3 linked regions of the Schizosaccharomyces pombe genome follow. The gene in region 3 interacts genetically with the main gene of each other region. Each region holds a gene or a part of one and is shown on either strand. Other genes may lie near its edges.

What was found.
Region 1: of elf1 (region 3) and npp106, a mutation in one rescues a mutant of the other (synthetic rescue), as found in Schizosaccharomyces pombe (one study listed by BioGRID).
Region 2: of elf1 (region 3) and cue2, changing one suppresses a phenotype caused by changing the other (phenotypic suppression), as found in Schizosaccharomyces pombe (one study listed by BioGRID).

The regions. Positions count from the first base shown.
Region 1 is NC_003421.2:2,058,028-2,065,137, reverse strand, and holds npp106 (nucleoporin Npp106), read right to left. Parts: upstream 5,241-7,110; 5' UTR 5,210-5,240; coding exon 4,986-5,209; intron 4,824-4,985; coding exon 2,246-4,823; 3' UTR 1,804-2,245; downstream 1-1,803. Other genes in the region: wtf meiotic drive antidote-like Wtf21, read right to left, coding at 1-87, 135-380, 548-686; heat shock protein Ssa2, read right to left, coding at 5,952-7,110.
Region 2 is NC_003421.2:176,254-181,878, forward strand, and holds cue2 (SMR domain-containing protein), read left to right. Parts: upstream 1-2,738; 5' UTR 2,739-2,785; coding exon 2,786-2,812; exon of another isoform or gene 2,813-2,851; coding exon 2,852-4,333; 3' UTR 4,334-4,560; downstream 4,561-5,625. Other genes in the region: bio2 (biotin synthase), read left to right, coding at 704-1,795; FAD synthetase Nad1, read right to left, coding at 4,815-5,066, 5,115-5,523, 5,577-5,625.
Region 3 is NC_003424.3:2,077,926-2,084,936, forward strand, and holds elf1 (AAA family ATPase Elf1), read right to left. Parts: upstream 4,593-7,011; 5' UTR 4,523-4,592; coding exon 1,349-4,522; 3' UTR 1,145-1,348; downstream 1-1,144. Other genes in the region: ate1 (arginine-tRNA--protein transferase), read right to left, coding at 1-441, 496-561, 603-634, 689-805; lysine methyltransferase Set8, read left to right, coding at 5,594-6,883. UniProt on the Schizosaccharomyces pombe protein: Has a direct role in the mRNA export process. Appears to act within the rae1 mediated mRNA export pathway.

The sequences.
Region 1 (7,110 bases), on a different chromosome or scaffold from region 3:
TGAAAAGGCCAATAGAAATCACCTTTACACATTTTGCCAAGGAAATTACAGTTACTTTAACTGCCTTGACCCAAGTTTCATAGAAGTCTAATGAGTTAGTGACTGAAGGTAAGATTACCCATTGTCTCACTTACAAGTCAAGAATATTAAAGCCAAAGTGCAAACAAGACACCAAAATCCAAATAATGTCCATTCTGCTGCACCATAATCCTTAAAGAAAGCGTCCTTATACGTTAGATAACAAATTGCGAGTACATTCAGTACATAGATTGGTGTGAATGATATTAGCAGTTTTATCAAGAAAGGGGAAGAATTATCTGTCGACCTGGAAGGATTGTTTTCTCTATGTGTGTTAGGAGGATTATTTACAAGTGCGTGATCTGTTTAAATTAATATGATTGAAATACTTTAGTAAAGAAAGAGCATGTATCAAATTGTGTGCATTGCATGGCCGACTGTAAACAATGACCAAAGCATGCAATTTGACAAGATGGCAAGTTTCAACTTTCCATTGAGTAATTCCTTTCTTATTGTTTACAATTCTTACCTGAATATGGAGGTAATGCGCCCTCTTCCTCCGAATCATATTCTGGGAGTGGTCCTTTTTCCAAATCGATTTCATGATCTGTCTTCAATTCATCTTCTTCATCTAGAGGACTTTTCAAAGAAGTGTAATTATTCTTCATTTCATCAAGATCATTCTTTATTTAATAAAACACATGCGCGAATTAATTGCTATGATTGCGACAAACGAAACAGCAAAATCAAGAATATTCGCTCTGGAGTTCAATTTCAGCTGTTCAACATAAATAAATGAATAATACTCGTTTCAAAGCAAACTGTTTTTTCAATAATAGCAAGTGAAAAGTAGAATTCCAAAACTCATTTTAATGTAATTGCTTCTGACACATTTATTTTGTCACTGCCCTTTTTATTCACCCCAACTTAGATTTCCTTAAACGTTTTTGAGAAGCAAAACGTTGTAGTATAATTATAATGTCAGTACGCAATTTGGTATCTGCTTTAACGATACATAGCACTGCGGCGAGATTTCTAGCGACTTACAACATAGCGGTAAGCGGTATGTTAACTAACAATATTATATTTATTGTTATAAGAAGTCTATTAGTATCGGTCACCGATATAACTCATAACTGAACTGAGGAATGAGGTTCAGTGTGAATGATATTATTAAAATTCTCATAACAATGATTAATATCGTTGTTCGTTACTATCGCATACACACTCTTTACTAAATCGCAAATAAAACTCACTGTAGTTCTAAGCCTGGTTAAATAAATAGTTAATCGCGTGTCTGGCAACTGCAAACCATAATTGACTGTGTAGCGGGTTTCGTGATTTAAAATCTCACTCAAGCATTTGGTCGTTCATAGCCATGCTAAAGTTTTTTTAAAAAATTTTTTAATTTGTTTCGTTTGAAAAGACAAAAACTGATTCAACTTAATTTTGGTATTCATTACTATATTAAATTTTCAACATTTTCAACATTTTCTTATATCAAATACTCCTGCACCCATTTATTGCTGTTCGGTTTTATATTTACCTTTTGTTTACATACTAATTATTATATATTAACTATGGGCAAGTAATTTTCAATCGTTTGGCATATCGTAGAACAAAGTCGAAAAGATATATCTCCTTCACTGATTTGAGTTGTTCAACTTTTTAGTTCGTTTAGTTCAAATAATATATTTTATTCGATATATTTTAGGCGAGTGCGGAATTCGAAATATCAATAAGAATCATATCATATTAAAAAAAATAATTAATTATTTGTAAAAAACGTAAAGCCTTTTGAGCTAGTCAATAAATGGCTCATAACTAAATTCACTGTGCTATAAAGTGGAGGATTTATGTGAAAAGTGTAAATATGAATTTATTATGAAATATTCGGCATAACATGATTTACAAAATTATTTTGAAGCATTTAGCAGATAAACGAACCAATTATTTGACAGAAACTTGACCTTGCAAGCTATGCAATCCCGATTATATTTGTTTACTAGATTGTATTCATAAAGTTTCGAAGACTATAAAAATGGGAAAACATTAAGATGAATAAATGTTGGGATTGAATTAAAAGCTTAAAGACGCATTAAGGCAAGTGAATAAAATTCCTATTTTTAAGTCATAAAAGATACAAAAATACCAAAAAATTGAACACAACTATCAAGAGGATATATGAAACGTTCAGTTCGCAGTAAGAAAAGAAGCCAATGCTTCGTTACAGAAGAGTCAGTTGCTCAGCTTGAAGGTATTCTAGAATTTGGGGAGACAACCGTGATTCTATCATGGTACTGAACATCACCAACATAGACCCTTTAAATTGCAAACGTTGTAATTTCTTCTTTGATTCCTCATTGACTACAGGAAGTTTAGATATTGTTCTGTACAAAGCTTTAATGGAAGACATGGAAATGTACATTAAGGATGGAATAACGCTCAAGACCTCATCCTGGAATGTGGAAAACTCAAAAGCGCGACGCCGTAAACGTGCAGAAATTGGTGGAATTTGTTCATTGGGTTCGAATTCAGCTTGCACTTCATTGATTGGCAAAAGATCCAAATGTTCAATTAGCTGAAGAACTTCGTCCCATTTTTCTTGACCATACAGTTTTTGTACTTTGACAACTTTAAGCAGAACTTTTAATGCCTTTTTGTTGGTTGCTGAAACTTTTGCACTTTTCTTTGGATTGGATTCGTACATTGCTAACAGATTTGCAGCCAAGGCATCTGGAGCTTCACTAGCTACAACATTAGAAGAAATATGCATATTTTTACTTTCTTTGGAATCGATAGACCATAAACCTCGAGAAACAATACTTTGACTAAGGTTTTTGATAGCAACACCAATCACTGTATCGTAATCCCCGAGCAAATGGTATAGTATGATTGAGTCCCCAAACCGTCCATCATCGTCTGCCTCTCTAGCGCCTTCCAAATACAACTTTTGTAATGAGTCATGATCAAAAGGAATGAGACGAAGATACAAGTCTAACAATCCGGTTGTACGCTCAGTATCCGGTTTGATGTCCCCCAAAAACTTTGAAAACTCATGCGATTGAAGCAGAAGTATTTTCGTTAAATTAATACTACACGCTTGATAAGCGGGAACCAAAGGTATGCAAGCTATGTAGTCTAAATAAACAGCTGCATCAACATACTCCAAATGTTTCAGGTAAGCAATGATCAATTGTGGAAAGTTAATTTTAACGTCGTCAGCTTCATATATCAAGATATTTTCATTTTTTTCGTAATTTTTAGTACGTAAGAGACCGTAGTAAGCCATTGCTACAGCAAAATGAGTAGCCTCCACTGGATAATTTGTGTGCAGAAAGCTTATTGCCCGTTCAAATTCACCACACATTAAAAGAGCGAGAAAATAGTTGGTTGGTGTATTATTCTTTGGATTGAAGTACCTGGGACCAAAAGCGACAATTTTCTTTTCTAGCTGATATAAGTTAAAGAGAGAATTTGTGGATTGCCCACCGTTGGAATCAATCACGTCGTTCTGATTTACACGGCAAAACATTAATTGAATCCACATATAATCCTCGGACGTTACACAAACTTCAGGAAGGGATACGCGATGTGGTTCACAGTTCCCTAATAATTTATATATTGCGTGTTTAAAAGGATCTTCAGGAGCATATTTCATTAGTTGACCATACTCAGCCTGTAAGCGATCACGCAATTGTTTTGGCAACGGAAGAGAAGGGTTTTTGGCATAGGAGTAGAAATAAAGTGGGAACGATCTACCAAGTTTTTCAAAATCGTCGGAATAGGTGTTCACAAATTGCAAGGCAGCATCTAACTGCCCTGACCTCATTAGATAGAACAAGACAACCCACAAAGGAACATCATTGACCACTGATACGGTAGACTTAATCCATGACCCGTTTTTGTAGAATCGAAGCTTACTGTAAGCGATCACTTTCTCCACAGAATTGACAGTAGTAATATGACCAGCATCCGAGAGGTGCAGATCAATCAATGATAAAAACTGGTTTTCTAAATACTTTAAAGACCCTTCTATGCAGTTTTTCTCTACGGCAAGCGCGGCAGAGCTAGAATCCAGAGCCAAATGTCTAGCTTCAAAATCACCCATACCATACCGGGTTTCATCAATCATATGGGCCAACAAAGACCATGCATCGAAAAGTTGAATAACTTCGGTATTTACCATCTGACTAACCGATGCAAACAAAGACCAAACATGGCAGGCTTGATTCCTAATCCGTGCCTCATTTAATTTGTGAACAGCTGCTGCAAATGAACTAGCTTTTTCGGCAAAACCAAAAATGTTCGTCGTCTGTGATCTAGTCAAGTCATTAGAAAGTTGATTATTAAGGCCGTCTATCTTGGTCAAGGACCCTGTAGGAATTGGTAGGTTTGAACCGACTTCTCGTAACGAACGAACACTCTGTGATTTAACGGATGAAGCTGTCAATAACGGCCTAGCCAAATTTGGTCTAAGCGACATGCTGATTGAAGTACCTAAACCGGAATTATCCTTGGAGTGAAGCAATTTACCGACATCTTCCATAAATTCCGTTTTTGTATTTTCCCACGCTATGCCATTATTTTTCATTAGTCGTAATTGGAACTCGTAAACATTGCTTTGATAGCCGTTCTCTATGCTAGCAACCACATTTTGTCCATTGTATAGTTTCGTATGAGGTTGCTCATACAAAGACTTCTTGTCAAGCTCCAATTGATCCCAAGGAGAATGAATATGAATGGAATAAATCTTTTGGCGTGTTTGCTCAGCGTTCATACCACTTTCAGCCAGCAAGTAATGACTAGATTGAGTTAATAATTATTCAAATTCAGGCATATATAGCAGAAAAAAGGAATAGAAGACAAGAGTGCCAAAGCAATTTAATAAACGTATACTGTTAAGTAATGAAATATTTCTAATCTTGTTGTCACTCGACACAACGTTCAATCTAATATCAACTTACGCTTTCGTATCACCGTCACGCGTCAATAAAACTTTTGACTCTAAATTTCGAGCCTTCTCTTCTAATTGATTTAATCCATATTGAATAACTGGCACTTGAGGTTCTAGGAGGACACCAAACAAATGTTGTGATTTTTCACGTAAATCCGATATAGAACTTTCTATCTGAGATCCCTTAGAGTCAGAAGTATTTACCCCTTTCTCTTTGGCTTCCTTGGATTCCATCAGCAAAAGGATCTAAAGTTGTCAAAAGGTTGGTTTACGCATGTATCTTTCCTTACTTCTACAAAACATTGAGCACATAACGAACCCGTCACAGTGCATCGTAATGTATTTAACAGCAACGTTGCATAACGCGCTATCTGCTGGATGCGAATAAAATTAAACTGTATATAATCTTCATTTCATGCTTTGAAAGTTTTGTTCAGGTGGCATCTTACTCGGCTTCTATTATTTTAAATATATTGAAACATTTCTTCTAGACATTTGTCGATTTCAAACGCATCTGCATGAATATTTACTGTACTCAAATAGTTACCATTGTAAAGCTCAATACTATTATTTATTATGAAAAGGATGCAATTCTGAAATGGAAATCAAAGAACTCATACCATAAATACACCTATATACACTCAAACTATATGTGAGTATTCTTCAATTTACATGCAAAATTTAAATTTCATAACACGAAACTAATTCCTTAAGCAGTTTAACACATATGAAGCAAATAACTTAATACTTTGACTTATTACCACAGTAACAAAGCAAACGAAAACACGAAAACACTTACATATATTTACAGTCATACTAGTAGAAAAAAGATTCTTTAAAACAAATTTATTAACTATTAATTTGTTAATATTTATATAACCTCGTTAGTCATGTCTATTACAAAAAAACATTGTTCACAACATAATTTTCACAATTAAAACCGCCCATTAAAAGATTTTTCTTCATGCACAGTATTTTAATCAACCTCCTCAACCTCAGGACCATTGTCACCACCAGGGGCAGCACCAGGAGCAGCACCAGGAGCAGCACCAGGAGCGGCGCCAGGCATGCCACCGGGAGCACCACCAGCTTGGTAGATCTTAGCCATGATGGGGTTAGCAACACTTTCAAGCTCCTTTTGCTTGGCCTCGAACTCATCCTTGGCAGCAGTAGTGTTACTGTCGAGCCATTCAATGGTCTCTTTGACAGCCTTGTCAACGGTCTCCTTGTCGGAAGCATCAACCTTGTCCTTAAGGTTAGGATCATCCAAAGAGTTACGAAGAGAGTAAGCATAAGACTCCAAGTGGTTCTTGGCTTGGATACGACCGGACTCGGCCTCATCCTCAGCCTTGTACTTCTCAGCTTCGGCAACCATACGGTCAATTTCCTCCTTGGAAAGACGACCCTTGTCATTGGTGATGGTAATCTTCTGAGTCTTACCAGTACCCTTCTCGAGAGCAGAGACATTCAAAATACCGTTAGCATCAACATCAAAAGTGACTTCAATTTGAGGAACGCCACGAGGTGCAGGGGGGATACCGGAAAGCTCAAACTTACCAAGCAAGTTACAGTCCTTGGTACGAGCACGCTCACCTTCAAACACTTGAATCAACACACCGGGTTGGTTATCAGAGTAAGTGGAAAAGATCTCGGACTTCTTGGTAGGGATGGTAGTGTTACGCTTGATAAGGGGAGTCATGACACCACCAGCAGTCTCGATACCCATGGAAAGGGGAGCAACATCAAGCAACAAAAGATCTTGAGTCTTCTCAGAAGTGTCACCAGTCAAGACAGCAGCTTGGACGGCAGCACCATAGGCAACAGCTTCATCAGGGTTGATGGACTTGCAAGGCTCCTTACCGTTGAAGAAGTCAGAGACAAGCTTTTGAACACGGGGAATACGGGTGGAACCACCGACTAAAACAATCTCGTTGACGGAGGCCTTGTCGACCTTGGAGTCACGGAGAACACGCTCGACGGGCTCCATGGTTTTACGGAAGAGATCGGCGCAAAGCTCCTCAAAACGGGCACGAGTAATGGAGGTGTAGAAGTCAATACCCTCGAACAAAGAGTCAATCTCAATGCTAGCTTGAGCAGAAGAAGAAAGAGTACGCTTAGCACGCTCACAAGCGGTA
Region 2 (5,625 bases), on a different chromosome or scaffold from region 3:
TCTCATTTTCTTTGGTAAACAGGTTGGTGAGCGCATTCTAGTTCTTTTGATAGTTAGAATCGTATACATATACCATATACATATTTATACAGACGTCAAGGCAAGTGGTTACTCTTGGTTCATATTTAATTAGTATTTACTATATAATTGAGTATCGATGTTTATGGGTCATATAGGTGTCATTCAACCTTTCTAAATCGAATAGTACGTAGCATTAGAGGTATGTCTGTATTCTATAGACAAATTAGTTTGTTTTAGTAGCTTTTCATCTAAATAGTTAATATCTGATATATGCTGAAATCTACAGTGTAAACAAATATCCTTACACAATACTTATAATAATATGCTTATCGTTATAGTATGTTAACTCTCTTTGAGAAGCGCAGCATGCATCCTGTTCACTTGAAATAACGATATCGCTTACATCCATCTTTTTCACAGGATCCAATGGTTGGGTTTGGGAATCAGCCATGTCCCATCTGCCATCAGCAAAATAAAAACGAGCGTGAGTATCGCTGTGTAGGCATCTATATATAGACCAAATACCCGCTGAAAGTTGGAATAAGCAATCGATACTTTTATCTCGGCTGATCGCAAATTAAAAAAGCATACTCTCATTTAAATAGGTTCCGTTGTTTGAACTTTTAGATTTTTCGACAAATTGCTACTGCTTCTGATTTTCCTATTATTTAAATAGTTTACAATGTTTACTAGAACAATTAGGCAACAGATTAGGAGATCTTCTGCCCTTTCTTTAGTGCGAAACAATTGGACTCGTGAAGAAATTCAAAAAATTTACGACACACCATTGATCGATTTGATTTTTAGAGCCGCTTCCATACATAGAAAATTCCACGACCCCAAGAAAGTTCAACAATGCACTTTACTTTCTATTAAAACAGGTGGATGTACAGAAGATTGCAAATATTGTGCGCAATCTTCCCGCTACAATACCGGTGTCAAGGCCACTAAGCTCATGAAAATTGACGAAGTTTTGGAAAAGGCTAAAATTGCAAAGGCTAAAGGAAGCACTAGATTTTGTATGGGAAGTGCCTGGCGTGATTTGAATGGTCGCAATCGCACCTTTAAAAATATTTTGGAAATCATCAAAGAGGTTCGCAGCATGGATATGGAAGTTTGCGTAACCCTTGGTATGTTAAATGAACAGCAAGCCAAGGAACTAAAGGATGCAGGCTTGACGGCATACAATCATAATCTTGATACCTCTCGCGAATATTACTCAAAGATTATCAGCACTAGGACATATGATGAACGGTTAAATACTATTGACAATCTTCGGAAAGCTGGGTTGAAGGTTTGTAGCGGTGGTATTTTGGGTCTAGGGGAGAAAAAGCATGATCGTGTAGGATTGATTCACTCGTTAGCAACTATGCCAACACATCCTGAATCTGTACCCTTTAATCTTTTGGTCCCGATTCCTGGCACCCCTGTAGGAGACGCTGTAAAAGAGAGACTTCCGATTCATCCTTTCCTTCGCTCCATTGCAACAGCTCGTATTTGCATGCCAAAGACTATCATTCGTTTTGCAGCTGGACGTAACACGTGCTCCGAGTCCGAGCAAGCACTTGCTTTCATGGCTGGTGCTAATGCAGTTTTTACCGGTGAAAAAATGCTTACTACTCCTGCTGTTTCTTGGGACTCAGACAGTCAGCTTTTTTACAATTGGGGTTTGGAAGGAATGCAAAGCTTTGAATATGGAACTTCTACTGAGGGAGAAGATGGCACTTTCACCCTTCCCCCGAAAGAGCGCCTTGCTCCTAGCCCTAGTCTTTAATCGTTGTAATGAGTTTCCATTCATTCTATTTGTAAACTAAAGTCTCTTTTTTAAAAGCTAATTTTGGTTTTCCCAGCCTGGTTCTTTGATGTGATTCCAAAATCAAATCAGACTGTAATTTTTCTTCTTCTACCAGTTACATTCATTTAATAAAGCCACCGTGTTGCTGATATATTGATACTTTAAATTTGTTGCAAGGAACTTCCATTTATTGTTTTTCCAATAGAAGTTGGGAGATTTTGAGTATTTCAATATCAAATCCCAGACATCATAAGAGCCTCACAGTTAGCAAAAAGCCGTTTAGAACCCTTTGAATTTACTTGTGCTAATGTGCTGTTCATTCGATAAATCAACCGTTAGGTTATTATTATTCAAATAGACGACTTCAGATAAGGTTAATATGGGACAAATTCTTATTAGATGGTTTATTCCCTACGGAACAGAAGTCTTTCGCATATTAAACATAGATCAATGCACGAATTACTCTCAGTTTGCATATTAAACAACTTCTGTAAATTATCTCACTCATCACGACAACGCTTGATTGCTAATTATAAATTTGTTACTAGAGATAAACTTAAGTTCGCTCACATAAACGTGGAGTGAGTTTTGAGCTTTAGCTACTATATATTTTGTTATAGATAAAACTAGCTAATAAATAGCGTGCACTTGAGTTCGATAAGCGCACTTTGTAACCGACCAATATAGTTATATTTCCAGCAAAGTTCTACGACTTCCGTTTTATATACCAACTGACTTTTAGAAAATTGGTCTTCTGAAAAACGTTGGTAGAGCGACTTTATTGCATTTTTGTTGCCTTCATTTTCTTGAATTTCTGCTACGATACACTGTGTTGTAAGCGAGTCGTTTATTGTCATTTAATGAAGTTTAACGAATTCAAAGTATTAATTATCCAAGAGCTGTATGTCATTTTGTAGAAAACATGAACCAAACGTAAAAAGGAATAATTATAAACGCAAAAACTGGTAAATGCAAGATTGGCGCGCAGCATTAGAGGTAATTTCTGATTATTTTACTTCTCACTAAGTGATTTAGGAATATTATTCGAGATATCTAGATTCTGCGCTAGTTCTTGCAATTGTAAATGACAGTGATGATAGTAATACCGCACGAGAAATACTTGAAGCTTTGTCCATCGAAAGCCAGTGTGATTCACATGAGGAACATTGGGATAATTTGAGGCGTGATGAGCAGGAATTATTAAACCTTAAAACTCTAGATGAAGAGATAAACAAAATAGATGAGGAGGATTTTACCTGGGAACTAAAGGATTCGAGTTTAGAACTAGATCCCGATGTCTACAATTTTTTGAGATCTATGTTTAGCGATCTTTCTGCTGCGCGGGTTCAATTGGTTCAAGCGAAATGTCAAAACGACCTCGTTCGCTCAAGCGATGAACTGTTAAATCATCGTGCCATACAGGAAAGTGAACAGATAGAGACTGCTGCTGACGCTCTGATTACTTCCAACATAGGTCACCGTTCTCGTCAAAGGAAAAAGAAAACTAAAAAAGCAACTAATTCTAGAAAACCTTTGAGTAAATTTCAATCCAACACTGAGGAAGTCAATGAAGACCCAATTCTAAAGCCTTCTCTTTCCGTTTGGGAAAATAATCGCCTGTTGATTGAGAAGCTTACATCTATTCTCAATATTCCATCTTCACAAATTAATCATGAGTTTTATAAAAATTCGAGTGCTTGGCCAATAACCATCAGAAATTTAATTCATAGGCACCAGCCGCTATCAAATATAACAAATAATGAGTTGATGAAGTATCAAGAAGAAGCAACTCAACTGGCGAAAGATACTGGTCTTTCACTTAAAATTTGCACAGACGTTTTGATTTGTAGTAACGACTACAAAAACGCATTATGGATTTTATGCTTAATTAAGGAAACTCAGCATAATGAAATGGGAAACATCAAACTGAGTTCACAAACCGCGAAGTCAAATTCTTCGACGCAGACCAAAACATGCTTAAATGATCAGAGTAGTAAGTTGGTTGAAGATGATGAAGCGTTGTCTGCTGAAGATTGTAACCGTCTTGCCGAAGAGTATTTGGAATTACGAAATATGCAATATTCTAACTCGGCTAAAGAATATCGAAGAAGCAAAAGTAATCATCTTTTTGGTGGTTCTGCAATGTATCATGCTCAGTTAGGGCGCGAATACCACGAAAAGGCACTTAAGTACCGATCTCTTGCTATGCGATCTCTTGCACATTCTGGAACATCTCACTCTTTGGATTTGCATGGAGCTACTGTCCGCGAGGCAAAGACAATAGTCCGTGAACGTGTTGCTGCTTGGTGGGCTAAAGAGGCAGATACTTCTCCTAATAGTATTCGTCCTTTTGTTATTGTCACGGGTCGTGGCAATCATAGTATAGGACTTGAAGCTCGACTTTTGCCGGCGATCGTCAGATTGTTACAGCAGGATCATTGGAGGTTTGATGCTGAGCATGGTCAAATAACTGTATACGGTATTAATCGACACTCTAAGCTTAATAGCAATGCATGAGCATGCGATCTATTAACTTGCGCATTGCTAGTCTGCCATATTCTTTTGGTTTGTTCTATTTATTTATTTTCGCTCTTCCAACTGCGTTAACATGTTACACCAACATTTTTTGCTTAAGCCCTTATCTCGAGCAAAATATTATTTATTATCAAAAGTAAGTAATTGTAGTTACTTGCTCGCCGAGGAGAGCACATACTAAAAAAAATTGATTCATAGGGTTTCAATAGATTCTTGGTTAAAGAGATTAGGTAATTACAATAAGTGTAATTGATGTAGGTTTCATCATGGAACAGAAAACAATAGTCGTAAAGTTACAGAACGTTTAGTCGAGAATATCAACATTACAATAAGGCTTTTGTATTTGGCAAGTATTATAAACCAAAGAACAAATGTATCCAAAAGATAGACGCTTTAGTAATGCAGAAAATCGCAATCCTCATGCTAGAATTGCATTATAAATGGGAAAAAAGGCGCCACGTATTTAAGATACTTCGGAAGACGCATAGGAGGATGCGCCGCTGTCATACAGAAACCGTGAATTGGTGCGAGAAAATGGAACAGTATTATTTCTTCCTGCCCTTTCAAGGGATCCATCAGAAAGTAAGTACGCAGGAGAGTAAGTTCCATCGGGATTTTTTAAAGCAGGGTTAGGAGACGTATCAGAAACGCCGCCCAAAGAGGTGTAACCTCTATCATATAAAGAACAGTATTTTGTGTTTGTTTCAAGAAGTAGCTAATGTTTAGTATATTGATATAGTAATATGTCAAAGAGAAAACTTACATCCCATATTTCAGTATAAGACCAATCCAATATTGGTTGTATTCTCATAAATTTAGGCCAACCTTTGTCTGTCACTTCAAAAGCTATACGATGCAAGCCATGCGGATCCAGCCGCCGAATACCTATAAGTATCGCTTGAATGTGCTTATGTTCCTTGAGAAACTTGCAAAATGCTTCTTTCATGGGAAGTGATATTTTAATGATATTAAGGCGATATTTTGACTGACACTCGTTCACAAAATCATCCATCTCTGGAAATTCATCTCTAGGTCGAACAAAAACGAAAGGAATATTAGAAAGTTTTGCTTGAGCTTGCTCTTTGTATTTTTCTTTAAGATAGTATATACACAATAAAAAGAGAACTAAGCAGTCTTTTCCTCCATTAAACGACATAGCAAGTCTTTCTGGTCTTGTAATAAACGTTAGAAAATAATAGAACTTATAAAAATAGTGCGCGCATACTGATAAGTTTCGAAAGCATATTCAATAAACCGCAGAGAAATGCTAAGTC
Region 3 (7,011 bases):
ATATCAGGATCATAAAACAGATAAACGCTAGAAACACCATGTGGTAGCAAGTCTAAAACTCCAACTGCCACAAGCCTTCCTTGAAATCGATACATCTGATGATAAGAACCATACTTTATCCCCTTGTCTTCATTAAATAAAGGAGAGTTGCAAAGAAACCTGCTAAATCCTTTTTTCGTGATTTCCTCTTCTTTCTCTAAATGAACTTGCATTTGATACTTTTTGAAGACTTCAAATTTCTCATCGGTGTAAGTGCAAGGCTCCATAGTTACAGAGTATTTTTCAGCTCCGAGCGATTCTATAGTTTGAAAGGCATTGTTCAAATAATCTGTGCTAATTTCGCTTTTCATAGGTTTTAATGGCTTTCCATTTACATATTTGACCCATTTTTTTATTGCCTTCTTTTGCTCTTTTGCAATTTTAAAATTATAGCTGTCGAGTCTTCAACATTCGGCGGTTAGTAATCAATCATATTTGGCGACTTATGCTAAGTACCTGATTGTATAAAGAGAACAGCAAGATGTTTTCCCGTTGGGTTTATATAAATAATGTCCTGAACGTCTTATTTTATATTAGCAATGTTAACTAATAAAGGTTTTTACCTCCATCCCAAATCAATCAATCGCTGGTAGTCCTGAGGTTAAATGTAGGTTAGCAAAATTTGCAAAAAGCAGAGTTATACGCTTACTTCACAACTGAGCTTTTCTGCTAATAAACCAAAATGCTCGGTCTTTCTTCCACTTTTACAATAACCACATTCAGTACTGACGTTGTACCCTGTGTACAACAGTTTATCCAATACCATACTATTGTTTGAAAATTTCCCTGTTTAATATTAAATGAACTATATCATCAGTAGTAAAACTCTTAGTTCAGTTCTTTTGCCTTTATTTTGAAGGCTCTTTGAGTAGGTGAACTAAGACTACACCAATTATTTCTTGAAGATTAAGTACCCTATTTTTCGTTGAGTGCATGTTTATAGAAATTTCCTGATTAATCATATTAAAAAGTCTATCACATTTTCATACGAATATCTAGAAAAAAACCCAAAAAATACATAGTTCTCTTGACACCTTTTACAAGAGTCAATGACAAAAGTGTATACGTCTAATACAACTATAACATGCACTAACGATAAACAAAACATATAAAAAGCGACTAATATTAATATTATCCACGATACCATCCACCAAGTTCTATATATATAAATTAAGTCTAAAAGGTATATCAGTAAACCGTAAATATGTAAAAGACCAACTTCAACAACTAGCACCGTCTAAAGAAAATTAAAGGATAAACAACTCTCAACTTGTCAATCCAAAGAGCGAATTAAAAAATTAGTCTGAAATTATTCTTCATCATCAGAGAAGAATGATTTGGGTTTTTCGGTGCCCTTGGGAGATTGTAACCATGCTAATTCTCTCTCTCTAGCACGTCTTTCTTTGGCCTTGATTTCATTTCTCGTCAATTTCTTCTTTTTGGTAGCTTTAGCCTCAATCTTTTTCAAATCTTTCTCCGACAGATCTTCAAACTTTCCATCGTCAACAGCGGTCTTGCCCTTACCGGTAACCTTACCCGCTTCTACATGCCAGTGTTCAGGACACAACGCAGAAACAAATTCTTCATTATGTGAAATCATAACGACCCCACCTTCCCAATCACGAATAGCAACAGCTAAACCACCTAATGCATCTCTGTCCAAAAAGTTTGTAGGTTCGTCCAAAACCAAAAGCTGGGGGTTATTCCAGAGACACGCAGCAATAACAACTTTAACCTTTTGACCGCCAGACAAACTACTAATGGGGCTGTAATCAGCAATGTCGCCAGGAAGGCCCACATCCTCAAAATGTGCCCTGATGTCTTCGGGAATCAATTCACGGAAACCGAGACCTTCGCGAGAAGATTCCATATCATCAAAAGCCTGTACAAACTTTTGAAACCCATTTTCAAGCAATATTTCTCGAGACACCCACGTATTGTATTTATGAGGCTTCCCAAACCATTTAATTTCATATTGAAATGACTTTTTTAGTTTTTGACGGCCAATCAAAGCTTCCACTCTTCTACGTTCGCCATTGACCGTAATATCACGCTGAAGCTGAGCACGGTCTTCTTCGGTAAGTTTTCGAGATTCCTTCTCTGAAACTTCGCGGTCCTGTCCTCCAGCATAACGCCATTGAATATATTGACTTGGCGTTTTTTCCAGATGTTGATCCAAGTGATGAAAGGCATGCTGAGCAACGTAACCCACACGCAAGTTGGGATGCTTGAAAACTTTTCCTTCTTGAGGGATTACTTCACCGATAAGAACTTTAATAAGCGTTGATTTACCAGCACCGTTAGGACCTAAAATGGCAACACGAGAAGATAAAGATAACCCAACGGTAACATTATCTAATGACTTCTTCTTCGCGTTGGGATATGTATAAGAAGCGTTTGTCATTTTTAATATGAGACGTGTGTTTGAGCGCACACCAGTTAAGATACCGGGAGGTGGAAAAACAAACTTCTCGTTTGTGGCTGTCAATGTATAGTATGATTTAGCTTCCGGTTTGACCTTGACAAAAGCTGAAAGATTACCTTGATAATAACCAAGCTTTTTTGCCTGGTTTTTAACACCTTCATAATGAATGATGTCAGTACACACGTGGTCCAAAAATGAAGAGTCGTGAGAAACTATCAAGCAAGTAATATTCTTTTGAGAGGTTAAATATGCTTCCAGCCATGCAATATTGGCAACATCAAGATGATTTGTTGGTTCATCCAAAAGCAAAATATCAGCTTTCTGCAACATGGCACGAGCCAACTCCAGTTTCATTTTCCAACCACCAGATAAAGAAGCAACAGGATTTTCCTGCATCTCCGCAGTAAAACCAACAGAATGCAAAGCATCAGCAGCTTCTTGACGGGTAACATTCATAGTCAGTAACGCCTTATCTTGAGCAACAAAGTCAAGGATAGCCATACTAGTATCCTCGCCTTGAAGACTATGTGCAACAAAGCAAGTTTTAACCTCATCAGGTGAGGGAAAGTTTTCAACCTTGTAATCACCAATAGCGCGTAACAAGGTTGATTTACCACAACCATTGTGACCAACAACACCGTATCGATGACCTCTATAAAGGTGAAGATTGGTATGACTCAGAAGCAATCTGCCACCGTATGCCAAAGAAAAATCAGTGTTAACTAGTTCCTCTTCCTCAATAGTAAGGTTTGAAATCCCATCAACAGAATTTAATGACTTATAGAAGGCGTGAAGGTCATCATATATCTTTGATGATATTTGTGAAGCCAATTCTTCCCCGACAAGTGGAGATAAATAAAGCACACCTAATTGCGAAGTCCATTTGTCTTTGTCAAAATTATTTGACTTATACAATGCTGCTAAGGCATCGCAGACATAATCTATGATACTGTTGGCCAACTCATGTGGTACACTAGTGTTTTTAAGGACGGCCTCACGTAATTCTTTACAAGCGCTATCTAACGCCTGTTTCTCAGAATTGTTTGCAGCCTTTGCAGCCTGAGCAGCTGCAGCCTTGTTTAGAGTAGTAAGTGCATGAGAAGCAAGGGCACGAACTTCAGGCATAGCAGCAGTTTGAGCAATACGCTCAACGTCCGGAATTAACTCAGGAAGAAAATCAGATGCCTCGGCAGGATCAGGAACCAGTTTACATAAGTTGTCAGTAATAATGACAGTCAACCGCAGCATAGACTGTGATCTCTGAGCTAATGCTCGCTTTAAGATAGGAACGAGCACAGCTAAAGCAACTGATTCAACTGTAGCTACAAATGTTGTAGCGCTTAAATCTTTAATACAAGCTTCCAGTGTTTCCGGATGAGCCATACAATCGACGAGCTTTGGTATATGAGGAATAATGTCGTTGTTTTCAACGACGGAACATAAGTTCAACATGCATGTAATAGCGGCACGAGAAATTTCCGGTTTCGTATCATGCATTCGTTCTTTAATACAAGGAATGAGAGCGGCCATGTAATCAGCAACAGCCTTGGGGGATGATGATGCAAGAGAGCCCAGTAATTGCAAAGCAGCCACTTTACTAGGCCATTTGATAGATGAATCGTCTAAGTAAGAAATCAAGCTTGGAATTAAGCGCGTTTCTACGGCTCCTGCAGGAAGACAATCCAAGAGGGCTTGGGCGGCCATTTTGGCGGCTTGTCTAACTACTTCACCACGATCCGAGAACGAATCCAAAATAGTAGGAAGATAAGGAAGGAATACAACTTCGGAAGGCGTACCCAAATTTTTAATAACAGTAGCAAAACCAATCATGGCAGCTTCACGATGGAATCCCGACTTCTTATTGCGAGCTGCACGTTCCAAGCCATCCAAAAACCCCGTAGTCTTCAAAGTGACTAAAGGGTTGTCATTTGAAAAAAGCTGGGCAATTTTTTTACCTACATCAGCACAGCTTTGAGAAGTTTCAGCATCCAACAATTCCTGCAATAATTTGAGGACATCGTCCTCTTCGTAACCCTGAATTAACACAGAGGATGTCATTTCTCTGCAATGCCGTTCCAAATCCCACAATTAACCCGATTAGGCCTTGCAATGTAGCTTGGTGGAGGACAACTATTGATATTGTGAGAATCCCTTTCATATACTAAATTTTAACCGCTCGCAAATTTATAATTTGCCTTACAGTTCCTTAAACGCCGACTATTGACAAATAGTACAGTCTCAGTATCGCTATAGCTTATTATAATATAATTACTTTAGTTCGCTATTTAGTACAGATGTTAAAAGTAAATAATATATCCTCAATATTCTGTCAAAAAAGATTTACTGAACGGACCACCTGCATTTGATGAATTAGTAAATAGAGATATTAATCCAATTAGTTCGTGAAACTCTGCTATAGTGGGCCCATCGGATCTGATGAATTTGACAGTGTAGACCTATTAGGTACCAGGTACTACCGTAGGGTATTGTACTTAATCAGCAAGAAGATACAATGATTTGATAACTTTTTAGAAAGCTTGTTTCTATATAAACCAACCAAAAAAGCTCTATAGGGATTTTTTACTACTACTCTGTTAAAATATTAGTCTGCGTCCTTATATTAATTTTAACCATAAAACGAAAAATTGGAGAAATAAATTGATTTCAATAGTTAACAGATTTCATGTAGATTCACATAATTTTGCCAATATATTTTTCCTCTGTTCTGCTCAGGTTACTAGTATATTAATAATACATAATTTAAGCTGTCACATACTACTTATTTATTTTGAGGTTCCAATATTTTATATTATTTTTCAACTAAACCGACAATCGTATTAGGCTAATGACCACTAGATATAATAAAATCATAAATTACTTATAGTACAAAAATCGGCTGCCGTTTGTGATGCAAGCGTCGTATTTTTGTTCATATAGGGTTGGGTTCGAGTTACCGAAAGTTAATGTCGCTTCGGTTGTTTCTCTAGGGACAGGGTATTTTCGTTGCTATTGACTTAGAAAAGTCGTGGAGTTATTAATAAACAACCAATAAATTTCAACTCGATTAAATACATTTTATTGTTAAGTTTTCCGTCGTTGTTTTGGCTTAAGACTGAGAAAATCAAGTCAATGGATATCAAATACAATGAGTTGGTCAACCAATTTGCGCCGGGAGCAAAACAAATTACTATAAAAAAAATACGAAAGAAAGGCAATGGAATTTTTTCTTTGAATAGGTATACTTCTGGAACTGTTCTTTTAGAGGTTCCACTTGAAAATATAATATGCCGCAAAACAGTTGAACAATTTCGAAATTCTTGTGATAAATTCGCTTCAATCGCAACGCTTGAGGAATGGAACGATATGAGTTTCAGAACTCAGGCTATGTTATTTCTTTGCTATTTATGGCTCGGTATTCAACCCCGAACCAACAAGTGGGATAAGTTTTTAACGGTTCTTCCTTTATCTATCAATACGCCTGCACAATGGCCCGAAAAAGAAGTCTACAGCCTCCAAGGCACTTCGATTTTTAATCCAGTTTGTGTCAAGAGAAAAATTTTACAACAAGAGTGGCTTTCATTAAACCAGCGGTATTCTGATTCCTGGCCTAGTAAAATAACACTCCCAAAATGGGTTCATGCTGATGCTTTGTTTCACAGTAGGTGCCTTGAAAGTCCCTTTAAAGATCCAGTTTTAGCTCCTGTGATTGATTTATGTAATCACTCCTCTAAGTCTAATGCAAAATGGTCATTTTCGGAAGATGCTATGCAGCTCTATCTTGACAAGGACATTGATGAAAATGAAGAAGTTACGATAAACTATGGAAGTGAAAAAGGTTCTGCTGAGTTTTTATTTTCTTATGGTTTTTTACCTGAACCTGAGGGCGATCGGATTACAAATGTTATGAAACTCTTGATTCCCGAGGATTCTAATGACTCGCTTGATCTTGCTAAAAGGAGATCTTGTAAAACTCCCCCCATGATTGAATTTGTTTCTGATTCATCTGGGGAATTATGGTGGCATGCTCCATTTCTTTTTTTTTCTGTACTTAATGTTGAAGACTTTACAAACTTCAAAATGGTGTGTGATGAATCAAAAGCTCAAACAGTTGACTGGGAATTTGAAGGTCAAAAATGCTCAGTTGAAGATTTGCCAAAGCTTGTACAATTATCTCCTAAAAGAGATTTGTATATTTTACGTGTTTTTTGTCTCGCTGAACAATTAGCGGATGCTGCCCTAAATACAAACATTGAGAATATGTACAATCCAACCGAACGACGTTCAGAATCGGTAGAGCTTTTAAAGCGTGAAAGTTTCTTACTTAAGAAAGTCCTTTTATATCTTAGAGACGTTATTTCAAAGCTCCTTAAGTCCAAAGTTGTGGTGGAATTCATCCATAGCCAGACCATTGAGTCATGAATCGACCATGCATAAAAAGTTATTTATTTAAAAAAAAAAAGAAAATATTTAGTATGTGATGAATACTCTACAAATCTCTTAATTTGGAATGACTAATCGTGTATAATAATATAATATCCGTAATATAT